Linked DNA regions of Coturnix japonica. Each later gene encodes a partner of the first gene's protein in a complex. Links are inferred from orthologs where the notes say so. Each region holds a gene or a part of one and is shown on either strand. Other genes may lie near its edges.

Evidence for each region. Proteins that work in one complex are often made in the same cells at the same time.
Region 2: the proteins of LIMS1 (region 1) and RSU1 are in contact, whole or in part, in a crystal structure (PDB 7LT9), measured with the Homo sapiens proteins. The link is inferred for Coturnix japonica from reciprocal best matches to the Homo sapiens genes LIMS1 and RSU1. Residues at the interface, in NP_001180417.1 of Homo sapiens: Cys252, Phe253, His254, Cys255, Asn256, Leu267, Asn268, Lys269, Ser279, Thr280, Cys281, Asn282, Thr283, Glu293, Phe294, Asp295, Met296, Lys297, Cys303, Lys306, Phe307, Pro308, Glu310, Leu311, Arg314, Leu315, Lys317, Leu318, Ala319; in NP_036557.1 of Homo sapiens: Asp21, Ser23, Asp24, Gln44, Val46, Ser48, His49, Val67, Asn69, Phe71, Asn72, His90, Asn92, Met95, Glu112, Asp115, Thr117, Tyr118, Arg137, Ala138, Tyr140, Ser142, Asp143, Ile161, Ser163, Arg165, Asp166, Glu184, His186, Gln188.
Region 3: LIMS1 (region 1) and PARVA share a complex: the UniProt entries of both Homo sapiens proteins name them as parts of the heterotrimeric IPP (ILK-PINCH-PARVIN) complex. The link is inferred for Coturnix japonica from reciprocal best matches to the Homo sapiens genes LIMS1 and PARVA.

The regions. Positions count from the first base shown.
Region 1 is NC_029516.1:122,924,595-122,929,691, forward strand, and holds the start of LIMS1 (LIM and senescent cell antigen-like-containing domain protein 1), read left to right. Parts: upstream 1-1,776; 5' UTR 1,777-1,871; coding exon 1,872-2,053; intron 2,054-3,661; coding exon 3,662-3,821; intron 3,822-5,097. UniProt on the Homo sapiens protein: Within the IPP (ILK-PINCH-PARVIN) complex, binds to F-actin, promoting F-actin bundling, a process required to generate force for actin cytoskeleton reorganization and subsequent dynamic cell adhesion events such as cell spreading and migration.
Region 2 is NC_029517.1:18,199,888-18,205,001, reverse strand, and holds the start of RSU1 (ras suppressor protein 1), read right to left. Parts: upstream 3,005-5,114; 5' UTR 2,830-3,004; intron 2,550-2,829; 5' UTR 2,436-2,549; coding exon 2,418-2,435; intron 1,253-2,417; exon of another isoform or gene 1,116-1,252; intron 1,013-1,115; coding exon 901-1,012; intron 1-900. UniProt on the Homo sapiens protein: Potentially plays a role in the Ras signal transduction pathway. Capable of suppressing v-Ras transformation in vitro.
Region 3 is NC_029520.1:12,290,967-12,296,166, forward strand, and holds the start of PARVA (alpha-parvin), read right to left. Parts: upstream 3,005-5,200; 5' UTR 2,888-3,004; intron 2,862-2,887; exon of another isoform or gene 2,843-2,861; intron 2,731-2,842; 5' UTR 2,656-2,730; coding exon 2,520-2,655; intron 2,483-2,519; exon of another isoform or gene 2,276-2,482; intron 1-2,275. UniProt on the Homo sapiens protein: Plays a role in sarcomere organization and in smooth muscle cell contraction. Required for normal development of the embryonic cardiovascular system, and for normal septation of the heart outflow tract.

The DNA.
Region 1 (5,097 bases):
CCAGTTCAACACTGGCTTCTCCTTATTCTCACTACCAAGGCATGTAGGAATTGATCCAGCCCTGGGGGATGCCAGCAGCCCCTCCTGGCCTGGTGGCTCCTCACTCCCTGGTCTGTGGCACCTCAGGGTTACCTTGAGTTACTGGTGAAGATACAGAGGGTCTTAGTCAGCCCGGTGTAGATCATAGCAGCAAAGTGACAAAAAAAGAGAGAAAGATGATCAGTTACTGTGCCTTTGTGGATTACCAGACCATCCCAGTAGAAACTATGTTTTGTTTTGGTAGCCTGAAGGCCCTTTTTAAACTCCTGGCAAGCTCCTTTCTTCCCTCCCGGGGAAGGAGTCAGGAGTAACTCAGTTGGCAGCAGTGCCAGCAGCCTGCAGAACAAGTCTGCTTTAGCCAGAAGGCACATCGGGGAGCACAGAAGACATGGGTGCTGCAGCAGGAGGAGGAGAAGCCTTTCCCTCCAGCACTGCTTCCCACAGTGCTGCACCAGCAATGTCATCATGACCTATAGCTATGACCCAAGCAGTGCTTCGTCTAGAGCTTGCCCCACAGCAGATAAATATAGGGCTTGAGCTCCAGCCTCCTCAACCTGTTACAACCTGCGGCTCCTGATGATCCTAAGATGGATAATCAGACCTGTGTGTGCATAAACACACAGGTCATGCTGCCTTGGCCCCACCTGCCATGATGTCTTGTGACACACGGGAGCAGCTTGCTTGGAAGCCACCAAGGGGAATTAAAGGGAAGAACCCTGACCAAACCCATTCCTGAAATCTGGCCTGTTTGCTTTTGCTTTCCAGAAGAAAATCTGTAGCACTGCATTGGCCAGGCCATGGGAAGACAGTGATGTGTGAGCCCAGGTTTGAGCTGAGAGCATCATGTCCTCTGCTGGGCACACACTCAGTTACCTCAGCCAGTGCTGAGACATGTGGTGCAGAGCTCAATCAATGCTCAAGAATGAGTTTAATTTGCTAGGTTTTTTAGATTTTTGAAGAGAGCATAACTGTAAAATAATCGCAACATTGGGACGGTTTTCTGTGGTGAAGGAATGATTCATTTTCACTCTTGCTTCTTTCTTCCTGGTCTTGCTTTCTCGCTTTCCTGATATCCACAGTGCATTACTTCAGTGTTCAAATCTATGGAGCATCCTCGTGTTCGGTGATTGTTCTAAATGCAGCACAGTACTGAAAATCACGCTCCGTTTCATTTCCTTCATCTATTATAGCATACTTGGCACTTCAGTTAACAGCCTGTGAGGCAAAACAGAAAACAAACTGGCCCTCTGTATCTATGCTTTCTGTGAAGTGCTGATGAGAAGGAAGGTGCCTATAGATAAATGCAGCATATATACCTTAGAAGGTATAAGTGGAGCATTAAAAGGCCATTTTTACAGTGTGATTAATATGCCCAAGCATTGAAACAATATTTACCTAATGACAGAAGCCTCTTCTTCATGCTGGTTAGCCCATGACAAAGCCTTGTTGGAATCCACATCCATCCCCTCAGCAGACATAAGCCTGCGGACAGGTTTGCTGAGGAACACCTTGGATCACATTGGTTGCTCACAAAACAGCTCTCCGGGTCCAAGAGGATTTCTCCATCAGCAGCCAGCAGCAAAGCCCCTTTCTAGCATCTGGGTGTGCATGACAGCCCAGTGCTGGAATGTGCTCCTCTGCAGCACAGCTTTTAACTTGAAGCTCTGGCAGGGTGCTGGGTAGCTCTGGCTCAATGACACAGAGGCGCTGAAAGTTAGTCACTTGGTTTGAGAACAAGGGGAAGCCCGGCGCATTGTTCTGCTGCCTTTGCCTCCAGCTCCCTCGCGATATAAGCACAGAATATATATACCCGTGATAACAGCTAGAGGAACATGGACTTCCAGCGCAGAGGTTACCCCTATGCGATCCCGGAGAATGAAGAGATCGCTTACAGCGTCTCTCACAATGCCTACAACTCAACGGGAAATGAAGGCGAGAAACCAGTGTCGAAACTGCAGCGTAGGCACAGTGACGTTAAACTCTACAAAGAGTTTTGTGACTTCTACGCAAAATTGTAAGTCCGCGCTGCTCAGCTCTGGGCTGTAACCGCGGTGACATTATTGGCATATGGTCACTGTGTTTTTTACCGTCTGGGCTCTGTAAGCCATTCTCTAAGGCAGCCTTTACCACAGCTCTGTGTCTGATATGTTGCCAGTTGTAATCATCAACTAGAATTTGAGCTGGTGCTGTGAACTTAATCAGTGATTGCGTCAGACGTTTTTATCAGGGGTTGAAGCAGGGTTGGCATTTGCCAAGTCGTCTCTGACTTCAGATTGTTTGCTTGTTTTGGGCGAACGTGTAGGCTGTTTCACTAATGCAGGACTGTTGCATGCATCACTGTTTTTACATACGTGTTTTTACTTGGATTACGTTTTTTCTCCGACAGCACTTAGTATTAAGTAACTTGTAAGTTTAGCACCCTTAATACTCAGGAACTGGTGAGGTGATGGTGAGGCTCGTGGTTTATGTTGTGAATACTGCTTGTTCAGATTAACGCAGAGTACGGGTGAAGTGTCTGACGTTTTTCCCCCTTCAGAAAACATACGTAATCCATGTAGACCATTGGCTAACTGTATGCTTAGCTATACTTTATACAAATAATCAGTGCTGTTTTTCAGTATGCTGATACTCTTAAGTATGAAATAGACCCTTCCTCAGCCTGACCCCCTTTGTGAAATTTGGCCACTCGTTGTTTCACTGTGAGGACAGTGACCCTTTTTTGGTACTGGGGCCTTAATTAAGTGTAAGACATCTGTACTGACTGTTGTATGTGTGAACACAATCCTAGTGAAGCTGCTAATCCCCTTGATACTTTGCAGCTATCACACTCATTCTGTGGTCACATGCCTTTGTGAAGCAACCAAAATTGCTATTTATTTGAGCTTTTATTTTGCATCACCTGTTTGCATTGCCCTATGCCTGGGTCATGGTGGAGCACCCCAGCACTGCAGCCAGAGTATTTCTACCTTCTCCTTGTCCTTGGTCTGGTGCTGAGGAGCTGCAATCTGCTTTTATGGAGATGAACCCTAACAAACCAACCAAAGATCCTATGACTTTATTATTTCTACAAGTTGTGCATAGCTTGAAGTGATTTTACAGTTTTGTTTACCTGCTGTGGTTTTCAGCAACCTACCATGTATAATATTTTAAACTCTTCCACACTGCTTGTTTAGAGCTTTTGAATTAATGTTGTATTCTGTTGTATTCTCGTATTCTAGAATTGTGAATTATTTTAGAATTAGCCTTCGTATTTTCCAATGTGAGGTCCTTAATTATTGGGAATTATTAGTAATAGGTGAACGGTTGGACTGGATGATCTTTTAGGTCTTTTCCAACCTTGGTGGTTCTATGATTCTATGGTTCTCCTCATAAAGAGACAGCATCTGTAACAATGACCAATAGTTATTATAACGCATTGATTTTGTTTCCAAAGAGTTTGGAGCCAGAAGGAAACAGTTTTATTTCTAAGGGATCACCACAAGTCATTAAGTTCATGGAAAGGTTTTCACTGGACAGCTTAGCATTAGGCTGATGCCATTGGCTTTGGAAAAATATAGAGAACCAGAATCAGTTGTGCTGCCTTTGGAACTCATTTTCTTTCTGTTTCTTGTTTTCATGACAGCAACATGGCAAACGCACTCGCAAATGCCATCTGTGAGCGCTGTAGAGGGGGCTTTGCGCCAGCAGAGAAAATCGTCAACAGCAATGGCGAGCTGTACCACGAGCAGTGCTTCGTGTGTGCCCAGTGCTTCCAGCAGTTTCCGGAAGGGCTCTTCTACGAGGTAAGCTGGGAGAAGTAATTACAGGCTGATCGATACCTTAGCAACTGCTATGGAAGAAATGGAGTTCCAAAAGATTATGCCTTTTAGAGGGGAGAAGGAAGAAGAAATGTTTCCATGGCTGTTTGGAGCATATCAGTGCGTATAACCTTATTTAAGTGAGGAAAGAACTACTGGAGATTCCTCTCCCTCTGCAGATTTTTTTTCATACATATACATTTCATTTCATACTATATATTAATCACAGAATCACAGAATTGTAGGGGTTGGAAGGGACCTCTAGAGATCATCAAGTCCAACCCCCCTGCCAAAGCAGGTTCCCTACACCACGTCACACAGGTAGGCGTCCAGGTGGGTCTTGAGTATCTCCAGAGAAGGAGACTCCACCACCTCCCTGGGCAGCCTGTTCCAGTGCTCCGTCACCCTCACTGTAAAGAAAAATATTGTATCAGAAATACAGGGAAAGCATTCTTCTTAGAATAGAGTTGTCAAAGGGAAATCCCAGCATCCTGCAGTCTTTAGGAGGTTTATTGCTGAGTGAGTGAGTGAGGCCTGCACAGCTTCTGAAATATCACTTGACCTGTAAGCCATCATGCTGAGGTCAAGGTGCGTTGACAGCCAAAATCAGATGAGGCCTGAGTCAGGTAAACCCAGAGTTTAATATACTTTCAATGGAAAACCCCACTCACCTTTCTTTAACCCTAGGTGTAAGGAAGGGTAGAACATGGGAGACAGGCAGTTATTACCTGAGGTTTGTGGATGGCTAACTGAGGCTCTAACAGATTAAAGGCAAAGTGCACACAATTATCAAATGTTCAGTTGCTTCTGAAAATTCTGTTCTAACCCACTTTCACATGCAGTGCCCATCATTGTGTCAAGAGCACAACATTTAATCTTCCACAGGGGTATTCTTAATTATACAGAGTCATGCTGTATGGTTAGAAGGAGACGGGGAGAGGAGTATTAATTGGAAAAAGAGGCTGGCAAAGGGGATTCCTGGGCTTACTTTCTCTCACCTTTCTTGAGGATCAAAAGGTTTTTCAGTGCTGTAGAGATAGTGTAGCACAATTTGTGGCAAATGAGCCAGCAGTGCTCCATGACACATCAAAAGGTGGGCTGCAAAAGAGTAGCAATTAAGAAAAGACAAAACAACACACCCCTTGGATATTTACACATTGCATTATTATTGTTAATATCATGAGTTGCTCCCTGTTTGCAGGCACAGTAAAGAGTCTGCCCTGACGTGTTAAGACCTGAGTCAAATGTGAGGTGATACATA
Region 2 (5,114 bases), on another chromosome or scaffold:
GCCAGTGCCTCACAGCCCTGAACCAATGTTCACTTCCATCCATAATGTGAATTCAGTTACAACAGTGTAAAGGGAAGCTCACCAGCCACCCACAGAGAGTACCCACACGTGCAATTGGACACGGCCTGGCACACTTCTTGAAAACCAACCAACGCTGCAGAAGGCAGCTTACCAAACAACTGCAGAGTATCCTCCAACTCAGTGAGCCTTTATATCTCCCACAAGGCTGCCCTCAACTTACAGAAGGCCCCGAATCACTACACTAAAGCACACGATGCAGTGTGCACAGGTGTCTGCATCTGCAGTGCTTACTTTGATGCAATGTAACTAAAGCACCACAAGTTCATGCCCATCACATCCCTAAGTGCCACATCTATCCTTTCTTTGAATACATCCAGAGATGGTGAAACTCCTCCTAGAGCCGCTGCAGTCCTCAGCACTCCCTCACAGCTAAGCACACCACTAAGGGTAGGGTTAAGGGTAGGACATGAACTTCCAGCTGATGCACTTCAATGTTATCTTTCCTCCCAGCTGAAGAAGCAAAACTGACCACGTGCCTTAGTGCTGATTATTATACCCTGTGCCTACTGAACTTAGTAACAGCTCTCAGCCCACACCTTAACGCATCAGAGGCTATGAAAGGGGTAAGCACAGATCTAAAGAAGGGTCTGTGGTCATAGGTGAGCCAGCCACTCATCCAGAGGAGTGCAGGGGAGCTCCTTCCTGAACAGGGATCACACAACGGGCTGCACAACACGACGTGCCCCAGGAGCAGGAAGAGAACGGGCATAGAATGCAGGCCCGGACACACACCGTTCCCTCCCGCGGCCACTCCCGCCCTCATCCCCGGCCCAAATAAGGCGGTGCCGGCGCTCCCTCCCTTGTCGCCCCGCTACGCACACAGGCCGGGCACGTCCAGCATGTTGGAGATGCCTCGGTCGCACATGTCCACCTCGGGCTGGTTCTTCTCCCTGCTCTCCTCCACGATCTTCTTCAGCGACTTGGACATGGCCTGGACGGGACACGTAAAAACACACACACACAAACACCGTCACAAGGGCGGTCCCCACTCAGCAACGCCGACCCACCACCGCGGGACCTCCACCCCGACTCACGGTGCGGTGCAGCGGCGCTGTATGAAGGCTATATTGAGGCTGTATTGAGGCTGTATTAAGGCGGTGGTGGCGGTGGTGTCTGGGCGGAGCCCCGCTCCTCCACGCGCCCACCCGCCCCTCCCTGATCCCAGCCCAGCCCGCCCCTCGCGCAGACGCGCTGCCGCCCCGCCGTGAAGCGCAGCCCGCCCCACGCTGGGGGCGGTTCTAATGGCGGCTCGGAAGGAGAGCTGAAGGAAGTGGTTCGCCCGCCAATAAGCGCGAACCGTAGCTGAGAGCGGGCACTTCAGCCCCCGGGGTCACGGTTGAGCTGCTGAAGGTGTGGCGCAACAAGGCTGGGGTGTCCTGCCTGCTGTCACTGCAGCATCGACAAGATCAAAGCAATTAACGACTCCATCTGTAAAACGACCCGAAGCCTGGACCGCACTGACAGCCGTAGCCTTGAGTTTTGTAGTTCCACAGAAACCAAGGCCGTAAAAGCCCTCTGAGATCACCGAATCCAGCCCCCAACACAGCCCCGCTGTGCCCACAGCCCTCAGTGCCACAGCGCCTCACGGCCGGTGTCCCCAGCAGCTCTCAATGCAGGCCGTGCCATCACCTCGCCGCTCTTTCTGAGCTCGTTTTCCTCACACCCAGCCCGCAGTGTCGGCCTGGCACTGGTCTGGGTGGAATTTCAGCTTTTCCTTTCTAAGAAACGGGATGTTTTAACCCTGAGGTGCAGATCCGCGTTTATCACGAGATGGCGCTCGCTGCATGCAATCGTTTCTCATTGTGTATAAAGAGTAACCCCACCACATAGGAAGGGCAACTCAGAAATGGATGTTTTTAGTGCTTATTTTTCAAACCTTAGTCTTACCATTCCTATATAGTCCTTACCATTCACATATAACTGTCCACTAAAATATACTTTTCATATAAGAAGATGTAATAATGTCCAGAAAATTGACACATAAGTAAAAACAAACATCTGACTCTAGGAGGTGATAGCGTGGACATCGATTATCCGTACTGTGTCATTCAGAGTGGAGAGGTTTGTAGCCATGCAGCTATTACTAGACAGACATGCAGTATTAACAACTACGGTGTGATCTACAAAGCTGTCAGCGACGTGCAAAGACACAAAAGCAAAGATATTGCTGGCAGTATTGTGACACGAAGGCATAATCGTATTAGACAAAGATTTTGTCTTTCGAACTGTGCACTGCAAATAGCAGATCTTTTATCAAAGCTGTTTTTTTAATGTTTAGTAGTTCCAGTTTGCTTTTGCCGTGCAACCATTTTAAAGTGTTTTAAATTACTCCTTACCTTCCAAGACAGAAACATGGCTCCACAACAGCTCTCTCCTTTAAAGACCTTCGCTTTAATAGCTCTGCAGTGGTATTTTTCTTGTGGTTGCTCACATAAGATGTTGGAGGACAACAGTGAGTTACTTTGTTCCTGTTTTTTTTAAAAAAAAGAACTGGTTTGATAATTTACTCTAATTTTAGACCTTGACTATTTTTGGCAAGAGTCAGTTGGGCCAGATCAATTGAACCTTGTACCAGCAGCTTCATTCAGCAGCCTTCGTGGGCATGAATTCTCTGCTGGACTTTCATTTTCTATACAGAAACTCATGCTTATTATTCACACGTAAATACAATTATGCACAAGTAGATGCACATTTAAAGACATGCCAAGCATTACTTATTGTTACTTTTAAAAAATATATTAATCTTACAGATTTTTCTTCCTCTCCTTCATGGTGTTCTTCACACTTTCTTCTTCCTGCAGAGATTCAGTGATTCCATATGTTTTGTTTGGCATTACCACCAAAATTGATACCAAGATCAGTATTTATCTGTATCAGAAAACTATCTGAAAGCATTTTGGCTGCTTGAAAGAGAACTATGACTCTTCTCTTAGTGAAATCTGTCTTTATGAAGTAAAGATTACAACACACTGCTCAGTTTAACCGAAGCCCTCCCTATGGAGCATAGGGCCAAAGGCTACATTGCCAAAACTGGCCTCCCACCAATCATAGCCAAACACTGTGGAATAGCCAACAGCCTTGGCAGGCCAACATGGGGCCAGAGGTCTCCTCAGGGGAACAAACTTTGTGTCAATAAACTGTATGATGAGTGACCGAGATCAGCTGCAAAAAGCCGCTAACAAACTTAATTAATTAAAACTAGGTACAGATTTCTATTCAGTGTGTTGGTCTGTCATAATCTTGGCAAGACCAAGGTTCAGCCTGTAACAGAACTCATTGTCCACATAGGAAAGGAATGTTCTGCAGAACTTGGCCGGCCTTGTAGCAGCAGAGAGTTGCCTGGGTGAGATCTGCCCTTCTGCTCCACCAATGGCTTCCAGATGAGCAGAGCTGCAGGCTGCTGAGGTACAAAAACACAATGTTCTTGCCTAAAATCTGGTGCTGGTCTGACCATCCACCCAGCAGCAAGAGCCAGCAACCACATCTGCTCCATCCCAACTGCACCAAATCCACAATGACTCATCAGAAGGTCAAAACCACGATGGATGCACACGGAGCCCCATGATACAGCCAGCCCCTAGAAAAAATAAACTCCTTCCTGATCTCTGCAGGCAACCAGCTGAAGCCATGTTTAACTGTACTTACATTGTCTTACGAGTTGTTATATTTAGAGTTTATTTTGTAGCTTTATCTCCAGGCAGTGCAGCTGAATTTATTTTCTTAGCTGCCCTTTTATAAGTTTTTAATAAGCTTTATGGACAGAGATTGCATGATTTCTTGATTTCTAATATGAAATCAGCTTGGTGTGGAGTATTGAAAAAGATCTGGGACACATAATTTTGCTCTCTTTTGTCTTCCCTTATTAAAGGAACTTTCTGGTCTTCCTGCAGACACAGCAGTTTCCTAGTTTGATCCAAATAAAGATATTTCTCCTTTTGCCATGTTATACTTTGGCACATTAGCAGGTGTATCACCTGTACCTAAGCTAGGTTTTTCTTCATGATGAGAAGGCTCTAAAGCCATGCCTTATATCTCATTGACTTGGCCAGTGGGAGTTCACAGACATCGCTCTTTTGTATGTTATGAGGTCATTTCAGAATGTTGAGTATCTTGAGTTTCATATCATGTCATCTACGTCTTTGCACTTTTTTGTTTTGTTTTCTGCTTTGTCTTTTAACTAGGATGGCTCCTCAGCCATTACAACATTTGTGGTTCTTTTCTAATGGAATTAGTCCTTTTTCAACATTCACTGGGAAACCCTCTAAGAGTTTCCAGAGTTTGATAGAACTGCCATTAACAATCCAGATTATAATCAATTACTGCCACAATCTCCTTAAGAAATTAATTTCCATGAGTGAACCGGTGTTCTCTGTATATCCCAGCAGAAGATGTGTGTCGGCCTGGGGAGGGAGCAAACTGCTGTTAGTAAAAAGCTAATCAATAGTTTGGTATCTACCCTATTCTGAAGTTATGTCCATTTATAAAATGCCTGGAATTGTCCACAAGTTGTTTAGGAAGCTGATACTTTTGCCAAAAGTCTCACAAGGTTTTTTATAAACTCAGTAACAATATAGATTTTGAAGTCTAAAGATCTGACATGGTAAATACAGTGACAGAGGTGTGAAGTTCTTCAGCAAAGTTATCTGTGTAAGTGGCTATAGGACAGGGGCCATTTTTAGCAAAGGCTGATTTTGTTCTCGTTTGAATAACGTGAGCTGTGATTTAGCACACATAGTTGGACTTGCTGATCCTAAAGGTCTCTTCCAACACAAACGATCCCATGACTGTGATTTTCACAAATGGTTTCACAAAGACAGGAACTACAGAACTAACTGAAGATAACTTTCATAGACTCATAGAATCACCAAGGTTGGAAAAGACCTAAAAGATCATCCAGTCCAACCATTCACCTATTACCAATAGCTCCCACTAAACCATGTCCTTCAACACAACATCCAGTCGTTCCTTGAACACCCCCAGGGTCGGTGACTCCCCCACCTCCCTGGGCAGTGCATTCCAGTGCTGAGCCTCCT
Region 3 (5,200 bases), on another chromosome or scaffold:
TGCCCAGCACCAGCTGCGCAGCTGGCCCTGCTGGTACACTGGGGACATGGGAACATGGTAGGCAGAAGCAGCAGGGAAAGAAGATTATGCACACATGTCAGTTGCTATGCACTGAGGTTGGAAACACATTATGGCAGACATGAAAGAAAGCAACAGCTATCCTGATGCAGCAGGAAAGCCCAGCACTGATGTGCTGCGGTACAAACAGAAAGCAGAGATAGAATGGTGCCAATACAGCTTTCATCATGACATTTCTTCCTCAAAGGAAACACAGTGCATGCCTGCAGGGCACCAGGGTGGAATGAGCACGCAGAAGCCCATTTTTGTTTGTGGTACATGTTACCAATGGATATTAGGCCATGAGGGCACACCACTGGCTCATGGCCAACCTGTTGTACACCGGGACACCCAGGTCCTTCTCTGCAGAGCTCCTCCCCAGCAGGTCAGCCCCCAACCTGCACTGGCACACACAGTTGTCCCTCCCCAGGTGCAGGACTCTACACTTGCTTTTGTTAAGCCTCACCTGGTTCCTCACTGCTCAACAAATTCTTCAACACTTTTTTTTTTCCTGTACAATTCAAAGACAAGTCACAGAAACAGGTCCAAAGAAAACAAGCCAAAAATCTCACCTTACATAGGGCACTTGTGGACCAAAGAAACCCTGTTACTTTGGTGAGCACCCACAGCCAGGTGGAGGTGTGATCTCTGTCAGAGTCACACATCAAAGCACTTAAGTCACAGATTCCAGAAAGACACAAATTTTACATCAAGTATCTCAAATGCTCCCATCACCCTGTGCTTAAGGCTTCCCTTGTTGCCTTTATTTATGGATTAAGCTACTACAAAGCTTCATTGTCAAGCCAGGTAAATCTAAGGAGGACAATCACACATGGCCTTCCTGAACCCCCCATGTAAAATTCACAAGATAACATAACACAATATAGAGAAAATGAGATCATTATGTTCGCTCCTTGCATTGGTATGGAGATAGGCTTAATATGCAATACAAACCGCTATCAAAAATGTGTGATTTGCTCTTGGTTTTGAGGAACACAGAGAGACCAGTGAACACGTTATGCTCCTGCCCAGCAACCCCTGGGCTCCTTATAGGCACAGAAGAGGCAGCTCAGTCTTGGAATGGTTTTCAGGAACAAAAAGGACAGAATCTCACCAAAAACTACAGAACTCTGGGCTATGATAGTTCAGCTGTAAACAGATCACTGAATATTCTGCATTTTTTCATAAGATAAAAAGCTATTACTACTGAATACAGTTAATCATTTGTGGGTTTTGTCACTTAAAAAACATTTTTATGCTATCTAAAGTTAGAGCTGCTTTGTGCTTTCACCGAACGACAGTGTTCTCATCTTTGGATGACAGCAGACGAAGAACTTTAAATGAAAACCAAGACACGACATGACAGAACATAAGCAAATCTCTGCTCCAAATTTTAGATCTCATGAAACGCTCCATAAAATGCACTGTAATTAAATATTACGTTTTAATGTATGACTAATCCCTACTGACATCATCCATGGTATCTCAAGTAACTGTATCTTAGGTTACTCAAAGCATCACACACAGAGTAAATGAACTGCCCAAAGCAGTATCTGCAGCACAGGGGCCTGTGTGAAATGCTGTGCTGCTGTCAGTACCCAGCTGTGTACCTCAGAAGCACGGTCTGCTGAGCAGAACGCCCCCCTCCTTTGCAAGCAAACGACTTGCAAGCTTGAAAAAACAGTTTGGAAATGACCGCTAACTTGGTACCGAGTTTAAATTAACAGCAGCAGCAAAAACGCTGGGTGAGTAAGGTTAAACCCCAGTTCTCTGCCTCACGGGATTCTAAATCGGCAGATTCAGTAGCGGGTGGGTATTAATTCAAATACACGGACAAAGAACCCGAATGTCGGCTCAGCGTTCTTCGAGCTCCACTGCAACGAGCCGAGGGCTCCCAGCCGGGCACAGGAACGAGCAGGTTAAACTGTAACCATCAGAGCGCTGTTGCAAGCTGTGTGCGTGACCCTGCCCTCCCAAAGCGCCGTGCCGACGGCGGGCCGCACACAACACAACGCCCTGCGAGCTACAGCGGGCACGCACACCAAGTCTCGCAGAGCGGTGGGCTCCGCCCCGCCCGCCATCCGGACAGCCCCGGGCCGCCGCGGGGACACGGCCCGCTCCTCCGCGTGGCTCTGCGGCCGCCCCGCCCGGCCCTCCCCGGCCCGCGGGACCATCTCGGCGCCGCCCGCTCCCTCCCGGCCGATCGGCCCGTCTCGGCCCCACGGCCGCATCAGCCCGGCGGCTCCCGGTCGGAGCTCTCCCGTCCCCGCGTCGCCAGCTCGAGCTGCGCCCCAGGGCGACGCGGCGCTCCTCCCTTCCCCGCTCGCCTGCCCACCCCACCCGCGTCCGCCCGTCAGCCCCTTCCTCCGCTCCCCCGAGCCTTTCCTCTCCCCGTGTCTCCTCCCACCCTCCTCCCCGTCCCGAGGTAACTCCCAGGAAACGCGCGAACCTGCGCTTCTTACCTTCTTTGGCTTTTTTCCTCCTGGCCAGCGTGCCGCCGAGCTTGCCCAGGAACGAGTCATCTTTTTTTCTGGACGGGGGCGATTTCGGGGTGGGAGATTTGGGGGAAGAAGGGGACTTCTGGGGGGACGATGCCATGGCGGGCCCGGCCGGCGATCGGGGATGGAGGAGACGGCTGCGAGGCCCCGGAGCCGTGGGAGGCCGCTCCCGGCTCTGAACGGAAGCGGAATTATTCCAGGCATTTGAGGCAGCTCCGTGCCGCTCTCCCGCTCCTGCCCTGCCTCCCGCCCGCCCTCCGCTGCCGGCTGCGCCCCTCCGCCCTCACCTGTCCCGCCGGGGGACGGCCCTCCAGCCCCGCCGCCCCTCGTACCTTCCTGCGGGTCGGTTCGGGCCCTGGCGTAGGGCGACCCGCTCAGCAAAAAGCTCGGGTGCGGCCAGAGGCGCAGCTTTGGCAGGGGAAGGGCGCAGCCGGGCAGCCCGAGCGGGGCCGGGCCTCGGGGCGGTGCGGCGGCTGATGGCCGCCTGGAAGCGGCACGGGACCGCCGCGAGCTGAGAGCGGGCCGGGCAGCACCGGGACAACTCGGTACCTGCACGCACGTGGCAGCTCCGGGAGGTGTTTCTGCACTGTGTGAGCATCTAACAGCCGTGCCGCTGGATAGCCCTGTGCCAGCTGGAGGCACGCGTACGTTTGCAGGGAGCACGCTGTGCTAAGCAGCCCTCGGGATACCGCCAGAGCTTCTGGCTGAGGGAGGCGGGCATCGAGGTTTCTACGGAAAAATAAAATAAAATAATAACCGCTGTGGAAAGTAGGGAAGCAAGGTGACTTAGCACTACTGTCATTTGCAGATGAGTTGCTTTAGAGAGAAGCTTCTTTAAAGCAGATGATGTGCTGCAGCTCGGGAGCTGGTGCGGAAGGCACCCGGGGCTGCGGTGTCAGCTGGAGGCGCTGCTTTCCCTTCCCCGCTTAATCACTCCATTAACAGTTCGGGCAAAAAGCCACCCACGCTTCATGCAAATACCGTGCTGTCCTTTAGGCGGAATGAGCGAAATGAAATTACCGCGAGGATATTTCTAAATCAGCTCATAATTGTTGTGTTTTCACAAGCTGGTGGCATCGGTTAGCTGACATCAATGAGTATTTGTTGTGTGCAGTTAGTATATGCCCTGGGGAAAAGCTTTATTCATCCATACTGCCATCAGTTAAAAGCAGAACGAGCCCAGGCTGCCACCACTGCTCCACGTGTCCTTGGCTTTGCTCTCTGGTTCCAAGCAGGCTGCCGAAACCTGGAGCAGACCTCAAGGCCTCTCACCGTGCTCCCTGTCAGCACCTTGTTCTTACTGGTGAGCCAACCGATAGCTCACTTTAATTGTATAGCCTCATCATGTTCATGCTATTGCCAGGTAATAAAGTTGGTTACATCAGCACACTTCACATGCATCCTTATTCACCTGCACAGCCATCCATGCACACCCGTTTCTTTTATTTCTTTTACTGCAGGACTCAGAGTGATTGGGAACAGACTCTTGCTTCTGATTGAGGTAGAAGAGACATGATTCAGACTATACTTGCTGTTGGCCAGGCTAATGAGAAGGAGCACTTCAGCACTGAAAGGATTCCATATACTTAACCTGAGATGGCTGGCTCCTGTGATAGAGGTCAGCTCTGATGTCCTGTCTAGTTTTTCAAAGTACTTTTGCTTATTATTACTATTATTTTTTAAACACACAGGCTTAAGGCCAAGCTGGTTAAGGCCATACAATAAATTCTTGCTCTGTCTTTAAGTTCAGCGTTTGTCTCTGTCGTGTGCCTCTGCATGAGCCTTTTATCTGATTGGTCGCTTAAACCACAGAAGGCAGATGCTTCAGTGCCCCACTGCTATTGCTGTAACTGCTTTCAGCAAATCTCTTCACTGACTTGAGGAGGAACAGAACTAGACCAAAGTCCACCCTTTTCATTTTCCCACACATTTGACTGACAATTCTGCACAGTTAACTACTGAACGTGCCCTCCACTATACCTCCCCACCAAGTAACAGTCAACAGCACCATAAAAGAGGCTGCTTAGAAACCTAACAAAAGAGTATGTATTGTATACAGCTACAGAGATGAAATATTTTAGAAGTTCCAAAGGGAATTGTCACTCAGATGCTAGCATCATTCTGGTGCTTAATGCTTCCAGCCACGTGGTAGTTCTGTCAATTAGTCATCGATGTGTGCATGGCCAAATTCATATGCATTCACATCTAACTGTGTTGAGACTGTTTTAGGAAAAATTAGTATAAGGAATTTTTCTCAATAAGCATCACTTGTGCCTTTCACTTGAGCCCATGATTTTGTGCATCTGTTACATCAATATTCCAGCAAGGCGTTCCTTTACCTTGAGGGCAAACAGACTGATCTTGAGGCAAGTAATAGCTTACAAAATCCATTCCCTGAAATCCTTGCCCAATTGGCTTTTTTTAGATACAGAATCTTTTGAAGATAGAAGGAGCAAGCAGGAGGGAAGCCTCAGTCAATTCATTGGTGACATTCCTCTCCACACTGTGCTCTGGGACACCCAAACCCCCTAAGTGGTTACCTGCTGCCTGAGAGGTGTTAAACACAGACAATAGTTTGATGTATTACTTCCAATAAACCCTGCAGGCCTGTAATTCCTGTGCTGTTCTGAGATATTGTGAGTGTC